2 linked regions of the Saccharomyces cerevisiae S288C genome follow. Changing the gene in region 2 together with the main gene of any one other region gives a genetic interaction. Each region holds a gene or a part of one and is shown on either strand. Other genes may lie near its edges.

Region 1 (3,483 bases), on a different chromosome or scaffold from region 2:
TTGGTTTGGACTTTGGAGGTAAGGAGTCGTCACGGAATTGGTCGTAGAACTTTCCCTTCTTGTCAACCTGATCTATACCAGATTTTGAAATTATCTTATCTACAACGCGGTACGCCACCTCTCTAGTAGGGACTACAATTAACACTTTTGGTCTTGTAAAACCTTGATCTAGGTGTTCAGTGTCTGGGTTATCCTGTAATCTTTGATTATTTTTCAAGATTCTATCTCTTGTCTTGTAGATGTGATTCAAAACATGCAAAGCATATAAATCTCTGTACTCGTCTTCGTCCTTTTCGTAGGAGTCATACTCGTATAATATGTCTTTATACTGAAACATGGGGTCTACTAATTTTTTTTGCAAAGCAGTCAATGGATCAGTTTTTTTATCCAATAGTCCATTTTGCACTTTTAGCCTTTGTTTCAAAAAGTATGAATATATAGATGATGACCTGTACGGACTTTCCACCAATGCTTCCTCACCAATTACTACCGGTTTAGCATATATATATGATTCACTGTCACTTAGTGAGCCCTTTACGGATTTGTATTTTACACTTTTGGTCTTGAAAGCATTCGACAACTTATCAACGAATTTCTCCGGAACTTGGTTGAAATGAGACTCGAAAGGATCTTGCTCATCTTCACTGTCTATATCTTTTTCGTCTCCACTGCTGTCATCGTCGTTATCATCCTCGTGATTACCCAAAAGGCCATTCTCTATCTCCAATTGATCATCCACTGGTCCATGTTCTGTATTTTCGTGCTCATCCTCCCCAACTTCGGCAGGAGCTTTGTTACTCTCGTCAGCCTCTCGCCTTCTTCTTTTTGGCTCTGGATGTTCAGATTTGAGAATCGTCAATAAAGCGTCATAAACTTTTTCCTTTTTACCCTCTTCATCCTCAATATCGAAATCATCGCCACTGTCGACATCGGACACTTCATCCTCATCGGATCTATGGTCAATATCTTCTGCTACGTCCTCTAATGTTTCTGTGCTTCCGCCTTCAGTTCTGGCAGAAGATCTTTTAATCTTCCTCAGTTCTTGTCTTCCTCTTTTCCGATAGCCACGGAAATTATCATTCTTTTCCCTCACAGAACTGTCACTCATTACAATTTGGTCACTTCGCAATTATACCACCGTCTCACTGAACCAATGCAGTTTATTCCCTGTATTATATTATTGCAAAATATGCGATGAGCTAAATTATAGTAGTATTGCGAAGGAAAAATTTTTCAGATCATGGTACACGAGGAATCGCATCAGCTTGAAGCGAAGCAAGGGACTGGAGCGGTTACTGGTTTCGGAGAGATGATTGATGAGAAGATGAACATAGGTAAAGGATCGAGGTGTAGTGATACTGGAAGGGCTGTGCGTAAAGTGTTGGTGGATCTTATAGTATTCGTGAAGCTTCTTTTTCCGTTTTGCTCCCCTCAGCCCATCGCGTAATTGCTTAGATCTATTAGAGAGGTGCTGTTTGTGGCCGATCACGCTAAAGATTAGGCAACGATGACCAGTTTGTCCAAAAGCTTCATGCAGAGTGGACGAATCTGCGCAGCATGTTTCTATCTGTTATTCACACTACTTTCAATTCCAATCTCGTTTAAAGTTGGTGGTTTGGAATGCGGGCTTTCCTTCACGGTGACACTGTTCACTTTATATTTCATAACTACGACTCTTAACGTGTTGGCAAGACGACATGGAGGAAGACTATACATTTTTTTTACCAACTGTCTGTATTACTCACAACATTTTATCATTGCATCTTTGCTATACCTGTTTTTGTCTGGATTTTCTAATGATGAGTTGGGAAACGTTCTGAAAAATAAATATAATGAGTCGGAGTCGTTCCTGGAAGCTTTGAAAAATAGCTTGAATTCCAATCAAATTAACTACGTCTTATATTATTACTACTATCGATTTGTTGTACAACCGTGGCAATTCGTGCTTACCAAGTCCACACCTTTTTTTACTCTATCGGAAGGTTTTTTCACTATTTTAGCCATTCAGGCCGTCGGGGAAACTAATAGATGGTTATCAAATGACTTGAATTCAAACACGTGGATTATTTCCTCATTGTTAACCTCCGGAGGTGTGATTACCGCATCGCTGTACTATTTGTATCGGATTTATGTCACCCCCATATGGCCGTTATCCATCCAAACGGCGTCCTTATTAGGACTTGTTTTGTCTATGGTATGTGGACTGGGGTTGTATGGTATTGTGAGTCAAAAAGGATCCGTCATAGAGAGCTCTTTATTTTTTGCGTATATTGTTCGTTGTATTTATGAAATTTCCCCCAAATTAGCTACTACCGCGACTGATGAAATTTTAAATTTGTTCAAAGACGTCTGGCAGAAACATCAAAGAAATCTGCCCACAGCTGACAATCTTTTGTGCTACTTTCATAATGTCATATTGAAAAATGCAGAGGTGTTATGGGGGTCCTTTATTCCTAGAGGAAGAAAGAAAACCGGTGATTTTCATGATAAACTCATTAGCATTCTATCATTCGAAAAAGTATCCTTGATATCTAAACCATTTTGGAAATTTTTCAAGAATTTCACCTTTAGTGTTCCGCTATCCATTAATGAATTTTGTCAAGTTACAATTAAGATGGCAAGCGAATCAGTTTCCCCAGCTATAGTAATCAATTTATGCTTTAGAGTTCTGATGTTTTACTCGGCAACGAGGATTATTCCAGCATTACAAAGAAAAAATGACAAACAGTTGCGCAAGAGTCGCAGGATCATGAAGGGATTGTATTGGTACAGTCCTTGCATATTAATTGCTATGTATACTCACCTGATTTTACAATATTCAGGTGAGCTAAAGAAAGACCTGTGCATATGGGGTTGCAGTGAAAAGTGGTTTGGCGTAGATCAACCAGAAATTATAGTAGATTCATGGGGATTTTGGAACTGGTGCAACATTTTCTGTACTATTTTGGTATACGCTACAGAATTAATAGGTTCTGGTAGTTGAAGCTGATGCATTGTCAAAAGAGCCGCATTACCAGCTTTGCCAAATACGCGAAGACAAAAAGGAAGGTGAAATACCAACTGACTTATAACTAAGTGATAGATGATATCTGTTTTAAGTGCCATTCCTGAACCATTTTTACATTTGGTTAGTTTCTTTTTTTGTTATTATTTGCATTAGTCCCTTGCACGTTCATAGTGAAAATCCCTTACGCTCACCACTATTTTCTAATAAATACAATGAACATTTTAACTCATACTCTAATATGTAGACACATAAATATATAAATATATAACATTTCCCTGAAATACTACTTTTATTACGTGGTAGATTTTAACCTGAAGCCGATGCAGATTATTCTAGATAATTTTATTTCGGTTTTTTTTTTTCTGTTTTGCTAATTTCCAAGAACCCTTTTTCTTCTCTTATCACAACGATAAGAGGTACTTAAGATGATCTTCATCCTTGGATTATTATTCTTTCCCTCTTAGAAAAGTGAATAA
Region 2 (4,552 bases):
ACCTGCTGAAGCAGCAGCTTTCTTGGGACCATCCGCATACACTAAATTCGTTGCACTGTTTGTATTATACACAAATGCCACTGCAATAGATGTGGTGATGAAGATTCTGTAATGATCGACTAAATCAAAACAATAGAACAGCATTAAAGAACAAATAATTAGAAATTGGTATACTATACCCCACCAAGTAAAACGTGGGAAGGATTCATTGGTGGATGCAGATGAGATGGAGCCCCCGATGGCGATGACCCACGATACAATTGCCAAAGAAATTGATGATATAGCGAAAGGATCGGCATAAAATTTTTTCATTTTAAAAGAATGGTCGGTAGCCATACGTGAAGGTTTACGAGGAGTTGGTCTTATCTTTGATGATATTGACATATTTTGAAAACGTGATTTTTGGTGTTTCTGAAAAGATGGCGTTGATCTATAATGTCCAATGTTGTTTTCAAATTATTGGGTTGGCTACTGTTAATAACACGCCCTTTCTTTTAGCGATTCTGTTGAGCAAAGAAAGCTGATATGATAGACAATGATACCTCACTGAAAACGAGGCTCAATGACTTTATTCGTGTTCCTGTGTTCTTTGCATATTTCAGCAATCGCTGAAATTTTTATAATACGTATGAAGCAAAAGCCCGACTCCGAAAGCTGTTGTGTGTAAATAGATTGAACGCGTTGGGAATGTAAAACGCGATTAAGAATTTCTGATTTAACGCAGGTGCTAGGTTATTAATAGTTTCTTACGCGGATATGTAGGTTCAAGGGTCTATGTACGTATGGAGGAATAGCAAAAAAAGAATGAGTATACTCTTGCTTATTTAGTTTAGCTTCAAAGCTGCGGTCAGGCAGGTGATCATGATTATTAGCCCCCAGATAAACAAGAGAAGACCTGTGTATTTGAAAATCTTTGTCGTCAATGGCACGGCTGTCTTGTGCTCAGTTCCTATAAGCTTGTAGCCAAAGAGCCCGGGCAGAATGAAAGAAATAGAAGTGGAGCCTGTGGCCCCAACAATGGCCAGTACACGGGCCAAGGAGGAAACCGAAATGGCGACAAGATATGATGCAACTAAAATGCTGCACGTTATAACAATAAAGCTCTTGCCTCTCAATGGAGTCTCCTTAGGCTGATAAATAGATTCTTCTTCAATTACCTCATTGAGGTCAAGGCTACTGTCGCGAATCAACGGAGAACTTTCGGTAGCAACAGTGGGTTCATCCGCCGATGTAGCACTTATACTTACATTTTCCTCGGCGAAGTGTTGCAAAATCTGATGGATTGAAGCTCTTGCAGGATGACACTGTAGTGGGAACGCCAGCATCACCAACAACACAATCGCTATTCTGCCGATGGTGCTCGAGACCGCTTGCGGGTACAGCATGATAATGTTTCCAATGATGTTGTCGCCGAATGTCAGGTATCCAGCACAGCCGATCGCAATATATAAGATGAGAGCCAAAGATATTGCTATCAGTGGAATCTTCATCACATGCTCGAACCGGCTTGACCTCTGCTCATTGATTATTGAAAACATATTGTGGTGACATGTGTAGGCAAAGACAAAAATTGGAAGAGTGTTTAGCACGTTCAAATCATGCGATTGTGGTGGCAGGAGGTAGGAGATCCGGCCTTTCAAGCGAAGAATCTCATCTGATGGTGCTACATAGTGCAACAACACCAAAACACACAAGTACGCTACAGAAGAGATGGCCACCATGGAAGCGTACCTCAACGAATTCAACTTCTTCAGAAAAGACAGCGGGGCCACGAAAAAAAGCATGATCAGTGAAATTTGCACGTTCCTGTTCAACAGCCAAGCATTTCTGGTCCACACAGACATTATTTGGGGCATCAGATCCCCAACTACAATCATATAAGAGACGCCCACACCAAAACACTTGATAGCGATCGCTAGGTCAAACACAATACCTAGATTTGGGTTAATCAACCGCGTCAGAGCACTGAACGAGGCCCTCCCCTGTGGTACGTATTTAGCTACACGAGCTTGTATGAACAAGCTTTGCATAGCGCACGCCCCACACAGCACTATCATTATCACTCCAGGAATTAATCCAAACGGCTTGAATGCGTACGGCATGGCCAGGATACCAGCACCGCACGCCGTGTGTAAAAGTGTCAGCACACCTGATCTAATACTAGCTACCATATGATGCACGATTCCTTTCTATGGTTATTGAGCTGTGAAACTAACCCGTCGTTCGACCATTGTTGTTCTATATACTTCTAGTTGCTGTATAGATAAGCTCTCCGATCCCCTAAACGTGCGTGGTGATCTTACTCTTTCGCCCTCGCTTTTTTTTTTTCGCTTGTTGTTTTCGCAAGGTGAATAGAATGGTTTTAGTAGCAAAGTGCATTGTTTATTGTGTGGTGTGGTTTGACGCACATTCTGTGTTAATAGTGTAGCAGAAGGGTATTCTACAATCTCCGCGAACCTAAGTATGTCTGCTGTTGAAATTTCCCCTGACGTGTTGGTGTATAAGTCTCCATTAACGGAGCAATCGACAGAATACGCTAGTATTTCCAACAATTCAGACCAAACCATTGCATTTAAGGTCAAGACCACAGCCCCAAAGTTTTACTGCGTGAGACCAAACGCCGCAGTTGTTGCTCCAGGTGAAACAATCCAGGTTCAAGTTATCTTCCTGGGTTTGACTGAAGAGCCTGCCGCAGACTTTAAGTGCCGTGACAAGTTCCTGGTTATCACGTTGCCTTCTCCTTACGACCTCAATGGCAAGGCTGTTGCAGATGTTTGGTCCGACTTGGAGGCTGAGTTCAAGCAACAGGCTATCTCTAAAAAGATAAAAGTCAAATATTTGATAAGTCCAGATGTACACCCAGCACAGAACCAAAATATACAGGAAAACAAGGAAACTGTTGAACCAGTAGTCCAAGACAGTGAGCCAAAGGAAGTGCCTGCTGTGGTAAACGAAAAGGAGGTCCCTGCTGAACCGGAAACTCAACCTCCCGTCCAAGTAAAGAAAGAAGAGGTCCCACCTGTCGTTCAGAAAACCGTTCCTCATGAAAATGAGAAGCAAACGTCCAACAGCACTCCGGCCCCACAGAACCAGATAAAGGAAGCCGCAACCGTACCTGCAGAAAATGAATCATCCAGCATGGGTATATTCATATTGGTTGCACTCCTTATCTTGGTTTTAGGATGGTTCTACAGATAATAGGGAGATTGAGGATATAGCTGTATTCTAAATATATATTTATATATGTGTGTGTTTTGCCCTTTCCTTCCTTTCAGTCTTTATTTTACTTTGTTTTTCTACAATCTTTTTTTATTGTTTCCTTCTGTAGCCTTTACAATACTAGAACAAGGAACTAAAAGATCATACTTTCCTAACTTTTTTATATGTTTTATTTTTTAAATAGGAGAATAATCGATAACTATACCACTGTTGTAACATATTACTTGTTTAATTTATTCATGTTCGGTTTCCCTAGTGTAGTAGGCGCTATCTTGGGCAAATAACTATCCGTTATTAACCATAACAATGCGGGGTCTACTAAATGAGGGGAGGGTCTTGGATGCACATTAACGAAGATCTTGCGAGGGGGTCGCGCCTAAAAGGTCCATAAATAAATGAATACATAAACAGCCACCTACTTTCAGTTTGTTTTTTGCTAGGTCTCATAGTGAACGAGGGACTCACATATTGACAATATAGTAACATGGGCTTATCGCGCTGGCACGACAAGAATTCAAGGCCAGCAGAGGAAAAGAGCGAAGAAATGCAACAGGATGCGCACTACTACGCCCTTGCGGCAAGTGATAGTTTAAATGCAAGTGTTTCTAACGAATATGGTAATCAAGTAATGAACTCGTTTTGGAAAGTGGGTATAGACTCTCCCTATGTGGACGATGAAGCAATTAGAAACAGAGATGTCGAAAATAACTTACCTTCTTTAAAGCAAAGTGTTTATAATGCTAATGAACCAAATGCTACCTCGTCTGCATTTTCAACCGCTTCATACGCACATGAAACTTTCGATTTTAGAAACCTTAAACTAAGATAAGGGGGGATGAAGAATAAGAATAAACGCACGTACAATGCATATACAACCGTTTCTATGTACCATAAATATAATTATCATATAATGAAAAATGAGAATAAAAAACAATGATAACAATGAAAAAAAAAAAATTCAATTAAAGAGAAAATTAAACTTATTTTCTTAAGTAGTCCCTTAAATAACTACCGAGTTTTTCAGCACCCTGTTCTACAACGTCTCTCAACATCTGCAATTCATCATCTGCGGAGGCATTAAAATCGATGAAACCGTTATTAGAATTACGGCCATCAAAATTCCCTGCTCCACTTCCACTACTATTGATGGGATTACCAAATTCATCCACTTCTTTATCTTCTCCAAAGTATGAAGAAGAGGAAATTGATGTAGCATTGTCAAATGTTTTCAACTTGTCATGCGCTTCCCTGTTTGCTGCTTCATCAAATGAGCCACGACCAAATAATTGATCAGATGATATAGCTTTTTGTGTGCCGTACCTTTCCGCGATTC

What was found. A genetic interaction does not mean that the proteins touch.
Region 1: mutations in SCS2 (region 2) and ICE2 together harm fitness more than expected from each alone (negative genetic interaction), as found in Saccharomyces cerevisiae (6 studies listed by BioGRID, with this or other methods).

The regions. Positions count from the first base shown.
Region 1 is NC_001141.2:192,088-195,570, forward strand, and holds ICE2 (Ice2p), read left to right. Parts: upstream 1-1,507; coding exon 1,508-2,983; downstream 2,984-3,483. Other genes in the region: rRNA-binding ribosome biosynthesis protein UTP25, read right to left, coding at 1-1,108.
Region 2 is NC_001137.3:398,672-403,223, forward strand, and holds SCS2 (phosphatidylinositol-binding protein SCS2), read left to right. Parts: upstream 1-2,463; coding exon 2,464-3,198; downstream 3,199-4,552. Other genes in the region: osmosensor SHO1, read right to left, coding at 1-384; AVT6 (aspartate/glutamate transporter), read right to left, coding at 825-2,171; YER121W (uncharacterized protein), read left to right, coding at 3,704-4,048; GLO3 (ADP-ribosylation factor GTPase-activating protein), read right to left, coding at 4,200-4,552. UniProt on the Saccharomyces cerevisiae protein: Acts as an endoplasmic reticulum (ER) membrane anchor for cytoplasmic proteins via binding to the FFAT motif of targeted proteins. Regulates phospholipid biosynthesis by modulating the subcellular localization of the transcriptional repressor OPI1.